Callithrix jacchus: one gene and its partners. The protein of the gene in region 3 interacts with the protein of the main gene of each other region in a pairwise test. Links are inferred from orthologs where the notes say so. Each region holds a gene or a part of one and is shown on either strand. Other genes may lie near its edges.

Region 1 (3,751 bases), on a different chromosome or scaffold from region 3:
TCTGCAATGGTAGGAGCTAGTGTAAGAGCAAAACCTAGCAGACAGAATAATATCCAGGGAAGATGACAATAGAACGCAGCAGCAGAGGAATGAAAGTACCTACTCCTAAGCCTACTGGACTTGTAAGCATAGGGAAGACCTCACCTCGGAAATGTCCTCTAATAACGGAAGGAAATATCTAAAGGGTTGGGTCATGCATGTCACTAAGAGCAAGAACTTGGGAGAAAGTTCACAACCTTATTCTCTCATCTGGTCAATACAGCAACCCTGGGAGGTTGCTTGTCTTCATCTTACTGATAAATATTATGATCTTCAGAGAGATGTGTCACTTACATTTCTAAAAAGAGATCCCAGGGGTAAGCTCAAATTGAGATTCTGTCATAAATGTTTAATAAGTGTACACATTGCTTTTATAAGGTGGTCATATATAAGTAATAGAGTTCCATTTTGAAAAATAAGAAATGATGGATAAGCAAGAATAAAATTCCCTTTTAATTCTACCACAGAGATAAACATTATTTACTATATATGTGTGTGTATATATGTATATATACATGACTGTTTATGTTCATATTTAAGATTTAAAGTAAAAAAGAATGCAGAGAATGCTTTTTAAAACTGCTTTATTAACTTCACAATATATAATGAGCATCTTTCCATGCAGTAGGTAAAACTCGCCTGCTGACAGAAACTTACAAACTGGGTCAGAAACAACATTCAGTTAGAAGCTGGTATCAGGAGACCCACAAGAAATAAGTAACATCAAAAGGTTTGCAACAAAGGTACACCACAAATATGTAAGTTTAGGAAGCAGGGGTCTTCCTATAAACTTCAGGGAAATCATCAGGATTCAGGGCATAAGGCAAAACTCATCGTGATGGTCATGGTGAGGGGGGTCAGTGCTGACAGCCCGCAGACTATGACTCAACTGCTTTTCCCTCAACTTTTCCATCAGCTGTCTCACCTCCTCCCCAAGCCTTTCCATATTCTCCTCTCTCATCCTTGCCTGTGGTTCTCCAAGCCTATGCATCATGTCCCATCTATACTGCAGGATGGGCTGCCTAACGCGGAACCGCCTACGATTTCCTCTGGGCACATAGTATTCACCAGCATCCAAAGGGAGGGCCAAGGGCTCCCCTTTATTAGCAACTTGCTTCTTTTCATCTTTTTCTTCATTTTCCTCTTTGACATTTTCCACGTTGAGATTGTTTAACGCTAGTTCCTCTTTGGACTCCATTACTCCTAGGAGACAAGAGAGAAAAAAAGAGACTCAATTCTTGGTGAACCGATCAGCACCGAGGACAGAGACCCTACTATACACCTTTCAAAATTCAGAGCCCTGGACTTCAAAGGCCATTTTAAAATTTCATTTTTTTTTCCACCAGAGAGACCCAGTGTGCCCTCGCGGGGAGACAATCCTAGCCCCTCTCTCTTGCAAAGCCCACCATCTTCCCTGCAGATCCATCTCCAGGCCTCTGCAGGCACCAAAATGGAGGACGAGGATGGGGTGGGGGAGGGGAAGGATTGCGAAGTGTTGAGTGAAGGCATGGATTGGGGTCTCAGACTGGGCTTTCCTCACGTTCCGACCCCCGCCCCACCACCGTACCTCGCACCGACCTGGGCCTATCCTTGCGATCTCCTCCTCCCGATTCTCGACTCGAGGCGCGCCGCCGGACACTTAGTCCCTCAGACCTGCAGAAGAGCAGGGGGCAGGGAGTGGGGGCTGCTGGAGCGGAACGCTAGCGATGACAAGCTGTCACCCAGCCCCTTCCCCGTCCCGAGCCCGGGCCCTCCTCGCCGCCCTCGCCCCCCGCCTCAGCAGCCCCTCCCCCCAAGATGACCACCATTTTCTGCACCAAGAAGGGCGGGGCAGGGGTGTCGGAAAAGCTTGCGCAGGTGGCGGAGGCAGGTGTTTCCGAAGGGTCGTAGCCTCAGGACCGCCGGCTCTCGCGAGGCCGGGCACCTCTCGGCTCAAGGAAGGCGGTGGGGCCCGGGGTCTGCTTCATGGTGGACCGCCTGCGTCACCGCGCGGCTACCCGGGGGTGGGTCATCCTCAGGCCGGGGCCGCTCCCCAACACCAACCCCAGGGATCTCCTCCAGGTCCCTTACCTGCTTCCCCTCCGCTTCCTACTTTCGGGGTCGCCCCCGGCCCGCACGTTCTCAGGGCCACCTGGAGCAGGTACCGCTGCCGAGAAGGGAGCGAGCGACGGCGGCTCTGACACCAGAGCGAGACAGACTCACTTGGCAGGTCACGTGGGGCGGTTGTCATCGCCAGCGGCTCCGCCCCCGTCCCACGCCCCCTCCTGCAGCCCCGAGTCAGGCGGGGCTTTCGGGCCAGCCCCCATTCACACCGGGAGTCCCTTTGAACATCCCCGGCCTGAGCTTTGCCACTCTCCTTTCTTTGTGTGTTCTTCGGACTTCCTCTGCCTGCCCAGGGAGGAACATATCATCTCAGGGAGATGTTAGCCGTTCCCACTCTGGGGACTTGCCTCTCTCTGTCCTTGGCTCCCAGGATTCACCTCCTTCTGTCCTCTCTCCTACCAATACTCTGATTTCCCTCCACTAAAACTAGTGGAAGAGGTATATCAGAAAAGGAGCCCAAAAGAGTAGACTTTTCTCATTCTTAATACCTTTCTGTGTTCTTTCATATGAAACAAAAAATATATACGTCTTAAAAGAGGAAAAAATGTTATTTTTAATTGAAAAACGGGATTAAAGTTGGGGAAAACATCCTAACCACCTGTCCTGTTAAATCATTATACAAATATAGACACTACCGACAGCTGCTTTTTTAGAACTTGGAAAAGGACAGGGCAGCTGATGACTCCCCTTTTGAGGGGCCCCTGGACATATGAGGCCCTTCTATGAGATGAACTAGTGAGTTGTAGTGCTACAGAGCTTTGTTGGGTTTTCAGAACTAAAAGAAAAAAAAAGACCTTTTTCACAAATTTCTGGTTCAAATGATAATAAGTATGTCTTTATTTGCATGTCAATAATCATGAATTCAGGAAATCCGAAGAGATCTACAGTTAATCTACTATAGGAGTAAGAATTGATTTTAAGAAGGTTGCAGATACAAGATAAGTATTACAAACTTACTCATAAATTCATTTGGAAATGCAAAGGACCTAAAACAGACAAATACTTTTTAAAAAATATCCTAGGCCAGGCGTGGTGGCCCATGCCTGTAATCACAGCATTTTGGGAGGCCAAGACGGGTGGATCACGAGGTCAAGAGATAGAGACCATCCTGGCCAACATGGTGAAACCCCGTCTATATTAAAAATACAAAAATTAGCTGGGCCTGGTGGCCCGCACCTACTCGGGAGGCTGAGGCAGGAGAATCGCTTGAACCCCAGAGGCAGAGATTGTAGTGAGCCAAGACCACGCTGCCGCACCCCAGCATGATGACAGAGCGAGACTCAGACTCAAAAAAAAAAAAAAGGAAAAGAAAAACAAAAATCCTGCAAATCTTGAGAGTTACATTATATTATTTCAAGACTTAAATTATAATGATACAGTAGTTAATGTAGTAGTAAACACAGACCTGTGGATTAATAGAACCCGAATAGGGAGTCCAGAAATAGACTGATACCTACGTTGTTAATTAACTTTTGACAAAGATGTCGGGATAACTCAATATGGAAAGTATAGTGTTTTAACAAATGGTGCTGAAATAACAGAATTCTTTTTTTTTAAATTTATTATACTTTAAGTTTTGGGATACATGTGCAGTTCGTGCAGGTTTACT
Region 2 (3,751 bases), on a different chromosome or scaffold from region 3:
TGCTGTGTCATTCCCCTGTTGTCTAGGGTTAGATCACACAGTCTAGTCTAATTCCAACTGGCTATTTTAAAAGGAGCAGGGGTACAAGCTGGAGTGGCAGGGTGGGTAGTTTGGTGGGAAGAACGGTTACAGGCAGATCAGACTAAGTAACCAGAGGTCAAAGCAGGTGACCAGAGTAGGTGACCGGAATGAGTCAGGACGAGCAGGGGACGGGGGGAACAGATGTGAACTAGTGATTAGAACTGGTGGAAATGTTTGTTTACTGAAACTACAAGGGAGTCAAACTTTAAAATGGAGAATTAAAGAATAAGAGAGCTGAACACACTGACACACTGATTATTTGAAGAGAAACTTGGGGTTCACTATATTTAACATTCTGAACCTTCTCGTAGGCCTATCTATGCATGCACCTCCTTGTAAAAATCCAGTTTTACCAAAACTGCTAAGTCAGTTTAGCCAGAACCCCCAATTCCTGATAACTGATCATCCTTGATATCTGATCAGGGTCCTCATCTTTCACCATCCCCCAGGTGATGTGTGATCACCCTGGCCCGTCTTCTACAAGATTCCTTTAGGTCGATTTAGCCAGAATCTCCCTTACACTTGTTTCCTCTTAGTAATTTTATATCCACTGACCATTCCACTGCTTCTTGATATGGGAATTTATGAGGAGTTGAGCTCAATCTCTCTGCTAACTCCAAGACTCAATTGCACTGGCCCTATATCCATCGCTATGGTCCTGAATAAAGTCTTCCTTACCAACAACCATCATTGAATAATGTTTTATTTAACAGTGGGCAGTCATGGCCCAGGTAAGAGGGACGTGATACCTGCTCCTGGAGGGGGAAGGCTCTTGGGCACTTTTTGTTTTTGTTTGGTTTTGTCTTTGTATGCAACATGAGAAAAAGCCATTGATGCAGGCTTTAGCATGTTATGAAGGAAGTGTAAAGAAGCCAGTGACGCTGGTAATAACTGTGAAACTGAACAAATGCCACCATATTTACCTAAACGTAAATTTTAAAACTGGGGATAGCAAATCCATTCTACAGCGAGGGCCGCTTAGCCAGTAAGAAGGATTTCATTTTCAGGTGCAGTCGAAGCCCTCTGGCTCCACCCCCAGCGTCCAGCCCTTACCACTGCTAAGAACTACAACTCCCAGCCGGAGGGAGGTCTCTGCGCATGCCGCCTGACGCCCTACGACCTACACTTCCCAGAGAACCTAGCGATTACGCTAACGTGCGCCTGCGCCCTTGTGCACCACTCGCTTCTCACTCTGGTTTGACCTACAGCCGCCCGGGAGAAGATGGCTGCCCCAGCAGTGTCCGGGGTCTCCCAGCAGGTGAGAGAAAGGTGGTCCCGAGAGCCAAGGGGAGGATCCCTCCGGGGGTGACCGGTACCAGACCCAGAGCGCGAGGGTGCGATGCTTAGGCTGGGGAAGTCTGGCAGTCTTCAAGGTTGCGGGGCCCGGCGACTCAGGGCGACCCAGTGTTTGTCCCCCAGATGCTTGCGGGGCTGCGCGTGTCACGACCTTGGCGTCCTTCGAGCACAGCCTTGGGAACTGCTCGCCTGAGAGGCGCCGCAGAGAGGGTCTGCGCTTCGCTGGATTCCTGGGAAGGGGCACGGCCTATCCCCTAAATCAGCTTTCTTTGCCATTGTGGTAAAACTTGTCAGAGATCGCTAGTAATGCCAAGGAACATTCGTAAAACACATTTCACAGTTTTGTAAAGAAAATAAGGCGGAAAAGTTTAAATGAGTCTTTGGCTGCTCAGCCAGTAAGTGGTGGAGTTGCGATTTGAACCCACGGAGTCACCCAGAAGATGAAGTTTGAAAAAATGTTATGCTCTTTGTACTGCATCTCCTCTTGGTGCTTTACGTATCATGACCCCTTCCTTGCATCTGAGGCAATTTTTACGTAAGCGTTAAAAAGTCTTTTCTTCCTCACAAGCAGTTTTGACAAAACACATTCCATAGCTAGAAGTATTTGAAGGTGACCTGTGATCTGTGACCTGTGCACTTGCAGGTGATTTTTAAACTGTGGATTCCATCTCTGTCTTCTGATGAGCGGGAGACCTTCTCTCAGATCTAGGGCCTCTTGCCGGTTAAAACTGCGGCAGTACTCAAAAAATTTATCTTTATTTTCAGATAGCATTTGGATTTCGAGGAAGGTACATCTGTTTGCAAATTATCTGCCTAAGGGTGTTGTAATAGAAACGCCAAAATTTTCGTTAAATATTTTAGAAACATGCACTCTTGGAAGTTAGTGTTTCTCTGTCATACAGGTGTGCTAGTCTCGGCCCATTCCTAGCAAAGTAGGATGTTAGTGGGAAGGTGATTTCCCAAGCAACTTGAGATAATCCTCACTGGGTAAGTTTACTCCTTAGTAATAAAAAGTAGCTAAATGTAATATGTGGTGATACAAAGAGACAAAACTAATGATTTTAAGGTCATTTAAAAAATTGTTTTGTTGTTACTGAGTTAAATGCAGAAACCCTCCAAGTAATCTTGTTTGATCTACTTTGCTTTATTGCTTTGAAGGTGCGATACTTCGGTACATCTGTGGTCAGACCATTTGCCAAGCTTGTGAGGGTATGTTAATTTCTGTTCTTCTGTAATTATAAAGCACGTGCAGGTGTGAGCCAAACAGCAGTACAGTCAGGGCGTGGATTTTGGGTAGTTACTATCTAAACCTTTTTGCACATCTCGGTTCCCAGAATGTGAGGTATGTGCAGGGTGGAGAAAGGAGTGATGTTGAGTACTTGCTTTGTGACAAGCCTATGTGTAATCTTTAAATATGAGAACTTGGTTTTTAATCATTTGTTTTTCCATTCTCCCTCTAAAATAGGCAAGCTAGCATTTACTTATTCTTTTAATGAAAGAAACAGGTTTAACAAAGTGGCATGCCCAAGTTATCACAGAAAATTATTGTTGGAGTTGATACTAAAATCGAGATACCAGACTGGGTGCGCTGGCTCACTCCTGTAATCCCAACACTTTGGGAGGCCAAGGCAGGCAAATCATGAGGTCAGGAGATCAAGACCAGCCTGACTGACAAGGTGAAACCCCGTCTCTACCAAAAATGCAAAAAATTAATTAGGCATGGTAGCAGGCACTTATAATCCCAGCTACTTGGGAGGCAGGATAATTGCTTGAACCCAGGAGGCAGAGGTTCAGTGAGCCAAAATCACACCACTGCACTCCAGCCCAGGCAACAGTGTGAGACTCCATCTAAAAAAAAAAAATCAAGGTACCTTGGTTTCTAATGTAATTCTGTTGCACATCTCCATGTTCCATTCTGGTAAGGACTGTTCATACCCTTTACACCCTTTCTCTCCACTAAGCACCAAGGAGGGTCACTATTTCTGAGAGTTGCCAGTCCCCTTCTTTTCAAACCGGTAGTCCAGTTGCCCCCAGATAAAGAAGACTATTAGTGACACATAATAAATGAAGTTCCCCAGGAGGCCTCCATAAATGACACATGGCTAACAGCTGGTAGCAGCTGGAACATGATGTCTGACTCCGTTTCTGTGGGTTATTTTGAAATTTCTTTATTTGATTAAAGACAGTTCCTGTGTGATAGAGAATTGATTCAACTGTCAGGGAGTAGGAACTTCTCAAAGATGTGCTGGGCCATCTAGCCTACTCACACTTTTCCCCCACCAAATCAACAGTGAGCCAATCCTCCCCTTGGAAAAAGATTATGAGATCTGTGTTCTTAATGAACCCACATCAGGTGGAATTTAGGAAAATAATT
Region 3 (3,651 bases):
AACCATCCTCTCACTGCTTAGGAGACCAGAACATCTTTTTCTTAGCTTTGTAATACTCTTTTATTCTGAAGCAAAAATGTATTAGATTGGGTGTGCTTTTTTCCATAAATTACTTTATAAATGTGCCTTGTAGCTGGAGCATTGATTAATAAAGGGGTCATTATGCTGTTGCTTACTGACTTTTTTTTCCTCCCAAATTCTAGTGGCACTGATTGTAAAACATTCATTTGACACAGAATGTATTGCTGTGAATTACTAAAATAGGTAACTGTCTTCCTACCAAACGAAAGGTTAAAGATACCAATATGTGAAGTGTGAGCCTTAAGTGGAGAGTGTCAAGTGAAGTACTAAAATAAGTTCGAAAAAGGAAGAATTTCTTGTACTTCTTTCTGTTCTCTAGAGCTGTGCTGTCTTGTATGGTAGCCTCTAGCTGTATGTGGTTATTGATCTCTTGAAAGGTGGCTAGTCCTAATTGAGATGCGTTAGAAGTATAAAATATACACTGGATTTAGAAGACTTCATATGGGAAAAATTGAAATATTGATTTTATATTGAAATGATAATATTTTGGATATATTGGGTTAAATAAAATATTACAGTTAATATCACATGTTTCTTTTCACTTTTCATACTATGGCCCTAGACAACTTAAAATTACTGTGGCTCACATTACATTTCTTTTGGATAGCATTGTTCTAAAGGACTAAGCACTGTTCCATACATATATGAATTGAGTATCCCTTATCTGCAGTGCTTGGGGCTAGATTAAGAATTTTTTCAGATTTTGGAGTATATGCCATTTGAGCATCCCTGATCCAAAAATCCAAAATTCAGAATGCTCTAATGAGCATTTCTTTTGAGTGTCATGTTGCTCAGAGTTTCAGATTTTAGAGCATTTCAGATTTTTGGATTAGGGTTCAGTAAGTATTTGTCGACTGACCAGTCTAGAATGCTAAACTTCCAGTAGCCTTGCCCATTGTGCACAGTTTAAAATCACTTAGGGCATCACAGCTAGGACAAGAAAACAGAGTATTGTAAAGTAGAATACATTTAGAGAACCTTTCACATTGAAAACCTGCCTGGAGGTACATGTTATAACATTATGCTAAGTGAGAGAAGCCATTCATAAAAGACTGCTTATTGTATAATTCCATTTATGCAAAATGGCCAGAATAGGCAAATCCATAGACACAGAAAATAGTTTAGAGGTTATCCCCTGGAGCTGTGGGAAAGGAAAAATGAGGAAGGAAGGACTGTGAGTGGGTCTGAGATTTCTTTTTGGGGTAATGGATATGTTCTGAAATTAGATAGTGCTGATGTTTGTACATGTGTGAAAATATTAAAACTGAATTGTATACTTAATGAGGGTGAATTTTATGGTATCTGAACTACATTTCAATAAATCTGTTATTCAAAACTAAAATACAAGGGCAAGTTTATTCTTTATGTATCAACAATTCAAAATAACAAAATAACATGAAACAATAATAAATAATATAAAATTACTTAGAGCACCCAAATGCAGAATAATCAATATGTAATGTTTTCTGTAAAGCCTATGTTTACCTGGAGAAACCTAATTTTAACTGACTTGTTCTAAATTGGTAATAGTGTTATTAAAAAATACCAATGATGGTTACATATATATATATATTTTAACCTGCCTATATAATGTTTTATTAATTTTATAAAATACATAAAACTTATAATTTTATTAATTGTGTTATATTACTATAGAAATTATTTAAATCAATAATACCATATAGTTTCTTTTGTTATAAAGGATTTGTATAAGTCCTTGAAAACACTATCTGCAGAACTGGTACCTTGGCATAATCTGAAGAAGCAGGATGCAAATGAAGGTATCAAAGTTGAAGATTTGTTATTTATAGTAGATACTATGTTGGAAGAAGTTGAAAATAAAGAAAAGGTAATAATACTTACATAAATGGTCACATTCTAATGTACTCTTATCTTAAAAATTGATAATTTGATGTGGATATTAATATTTGTTCTACAAGAGTTCTGTTTTTCTTTTAAAAGTTTTTATTTGGGATTATTTTAAGATATGAACTCTTTCTTTTTTACCTCTCTTTTGGACAGGACAGCAATATGCCAAACTTTCAAACTTTGCAAGCTATTGTCTCTCACTTCCAAAAATTATTTGATGTGCCTTCTTTAAATGGAGTCTATCCTCGAATGAATGAAGTTTATACTAGGCTTGGAGAAATGAACAATGCTGTGAGAAACCTCCAAGAACTCTTAGAATTAGGTGATGACCTAATTTGTCATTTTTGGCCCCCATTTAAGAATTGTTTTTAATAAATTAACAAAAAGTAGATAAAATTTTTCTTAAGTAAAAAAAATTGAGGATAACTGAAGCATAAAATGTTTGATGTATGTAATTTTGGAAATTTTCTGTTGAAATATCCTTTTATTTCTCTTTTGCAGATAGTTCATCTTCATTGTGTGTGTTGGTAAGCACTGTTGGAAAACTCTGTAGGCTGATTAATGAAGATGTGAATGAGCAGGTTATGCAGGTATTAGGACCTGAAGACCTCCAGAGGTACTCATTTCAAAAGTTTACAGAGTATCATCCAGAATGGCCAGGTGTGGTGGCACACACCTGTAGTCCCAGCTACTTGGGATGCTGATGTGGGAGGATCACTTGAGCCCAGGAGTTTAAGTCCAGTCTGGGCAACATAGTGACAGCCTGTCTCTAAACAATAAAAGAAAAAATAAGTATTGTCCAGAATTCATGGAGGGGTGAAATTAAAGACTTTCAAAACTCATTTACCTTCCCTATTTGGAATAGCATCTTTTCTCTGTGTGTGTTTGTGACTGTAGGCACACACCACCATGCCCAGCTAGTGTGTGTGTGTGTGTGTGAGTGTGTGAGTGTGTGTGTGCACGTGTGCAGGTAGAGAGACAGACAAGTTTTCACCATATTGCCCAGACCAGTCTCAAACTCCTGGGCTCAAGCGATCTGCCTGCCTTGGCCTCCCAAAGTGCTGAGATTACAGGTGTGAGCTACTGTGCCCAGCCTTGGAATAGCATCAATTTTTTTTTTTTTGAGACAGAGTTTCGCTCTTGTTGCCCAGGCTGGAGTGCAATGGCGCGATCTCGGCTCACCGCAACCTCTGCCTCCTGGGTTCAGGCAATTCTCCTGCCTCAGCATCCCGAGTAGCTGGGATTACAGGCACGCGCCACCATGCCCAGCTAATTTTTTGTATTTTTAGTAGAGACGGGGTTTCACCATGTTGACCAGGATGGTCTCGATCTCTTGACCTCGTGATCCACCCGCCTCAGCCTCCCAAAGTGCTGGGATTACAGGCTTGAGCCACCACACCCGGCCTGGAATAGCATCTTTTAAACAAGTTGACAACCTAAGATAATCTCACACCCTTTGGGACGAGAAAATGCCAAGTATTTAAAAAATAAAAATAGATTGTAGGGCTTATAAAGGTCAGGAACTCTTCAGCATAATCCTGTTCTCAGGAAATATTATATATGGAGAAGTTCAAACCTTGTCAGCAACTTTATGTAGTTCTGATCATATCAATAAGTCCTATTTTTAGGACCCTACTATAGACCACTGAATACTCATTAATAGTATATTTATTATTTGATTAGAAGATAAATGTTAAGGAT

What was found.
Region 1: the proteins of CEP70 (region 3) and BEX2 interact in binary tests that used the Homo sapiens proteins (3 or more experiments, as listed by UniProt). The two-hybrid records come from large-scale screens. The link is inferred for Callithrix jacchus from reciprocal best matches to the Homo sapiens genes CEP70 and BEX2.
Region 2: the proteins of CEP70 (region 3) and ATP5PO interact in binary tests that used the Homo sapiens proteins (3 or more experiments, as listed by UniProt). The two-hybrid records come from large-scale screens. The link is inferred for Callithrix jacchus from reciprocal best matches to the Homo sapiens genes CEP70 and ATP5PO.

The regions. Positions count from the first base shown.
Region 1 is NC_133524.1:99,382,542-99,386,292, forward strand, and holds BEX2 (protein BEX2), read right to left. Parts: upstream 2,240-3,751; 5' UTR 2,110-2,239; intron 1,693-2,109; 5' UTR 1,607-1,692; intron 1,243-1,606; 5' UTR 1,238-1,242; coding exon 851-1,237; 3' UTR 607-850; downstream 1-606. UniProt on the Homo sapiens protein: Regulator of mitochondrial apoptosis and G1 cell cycle in breast cancer.
Region 2 is NC_133522.1:39,988,912-39,992,662, reverse strand, and holds the start of ATP5PO (ATP synthase peripheral stalk subunit OSCP, mitochondrial), read left to right. Parts: upstream 1-1,280; 5' UTR 1,281-1,303; coding exon 1,304-1,339; intron 1,340-2,535; coding exon 2,536-2,586; intron 2,587-3,751. UniProt on the Homo sapiens protein: Subunit OSCP, of the mitochondrial membrane ATP synthase complex (F(1)F(0) ATP synthase or Complex V) that produces ATP from ADP in the presence of a proton gradient across the membrane which is generated by electron transport complexes of the respiratory chain.
Region 3 is NC_133518.1:45,829,700-45,833,350, forward strand, and holds part of CEP70 (centrosomal protein of 70 kDa), read left to right. Parts: intron 1-1,783; coding exon 1,784-1,930; intron 1,931-2,103; coding exon 2,104-2,272; intron 2,273-2,451; coding exon 2,452-2,566; intron 2,567-3,651.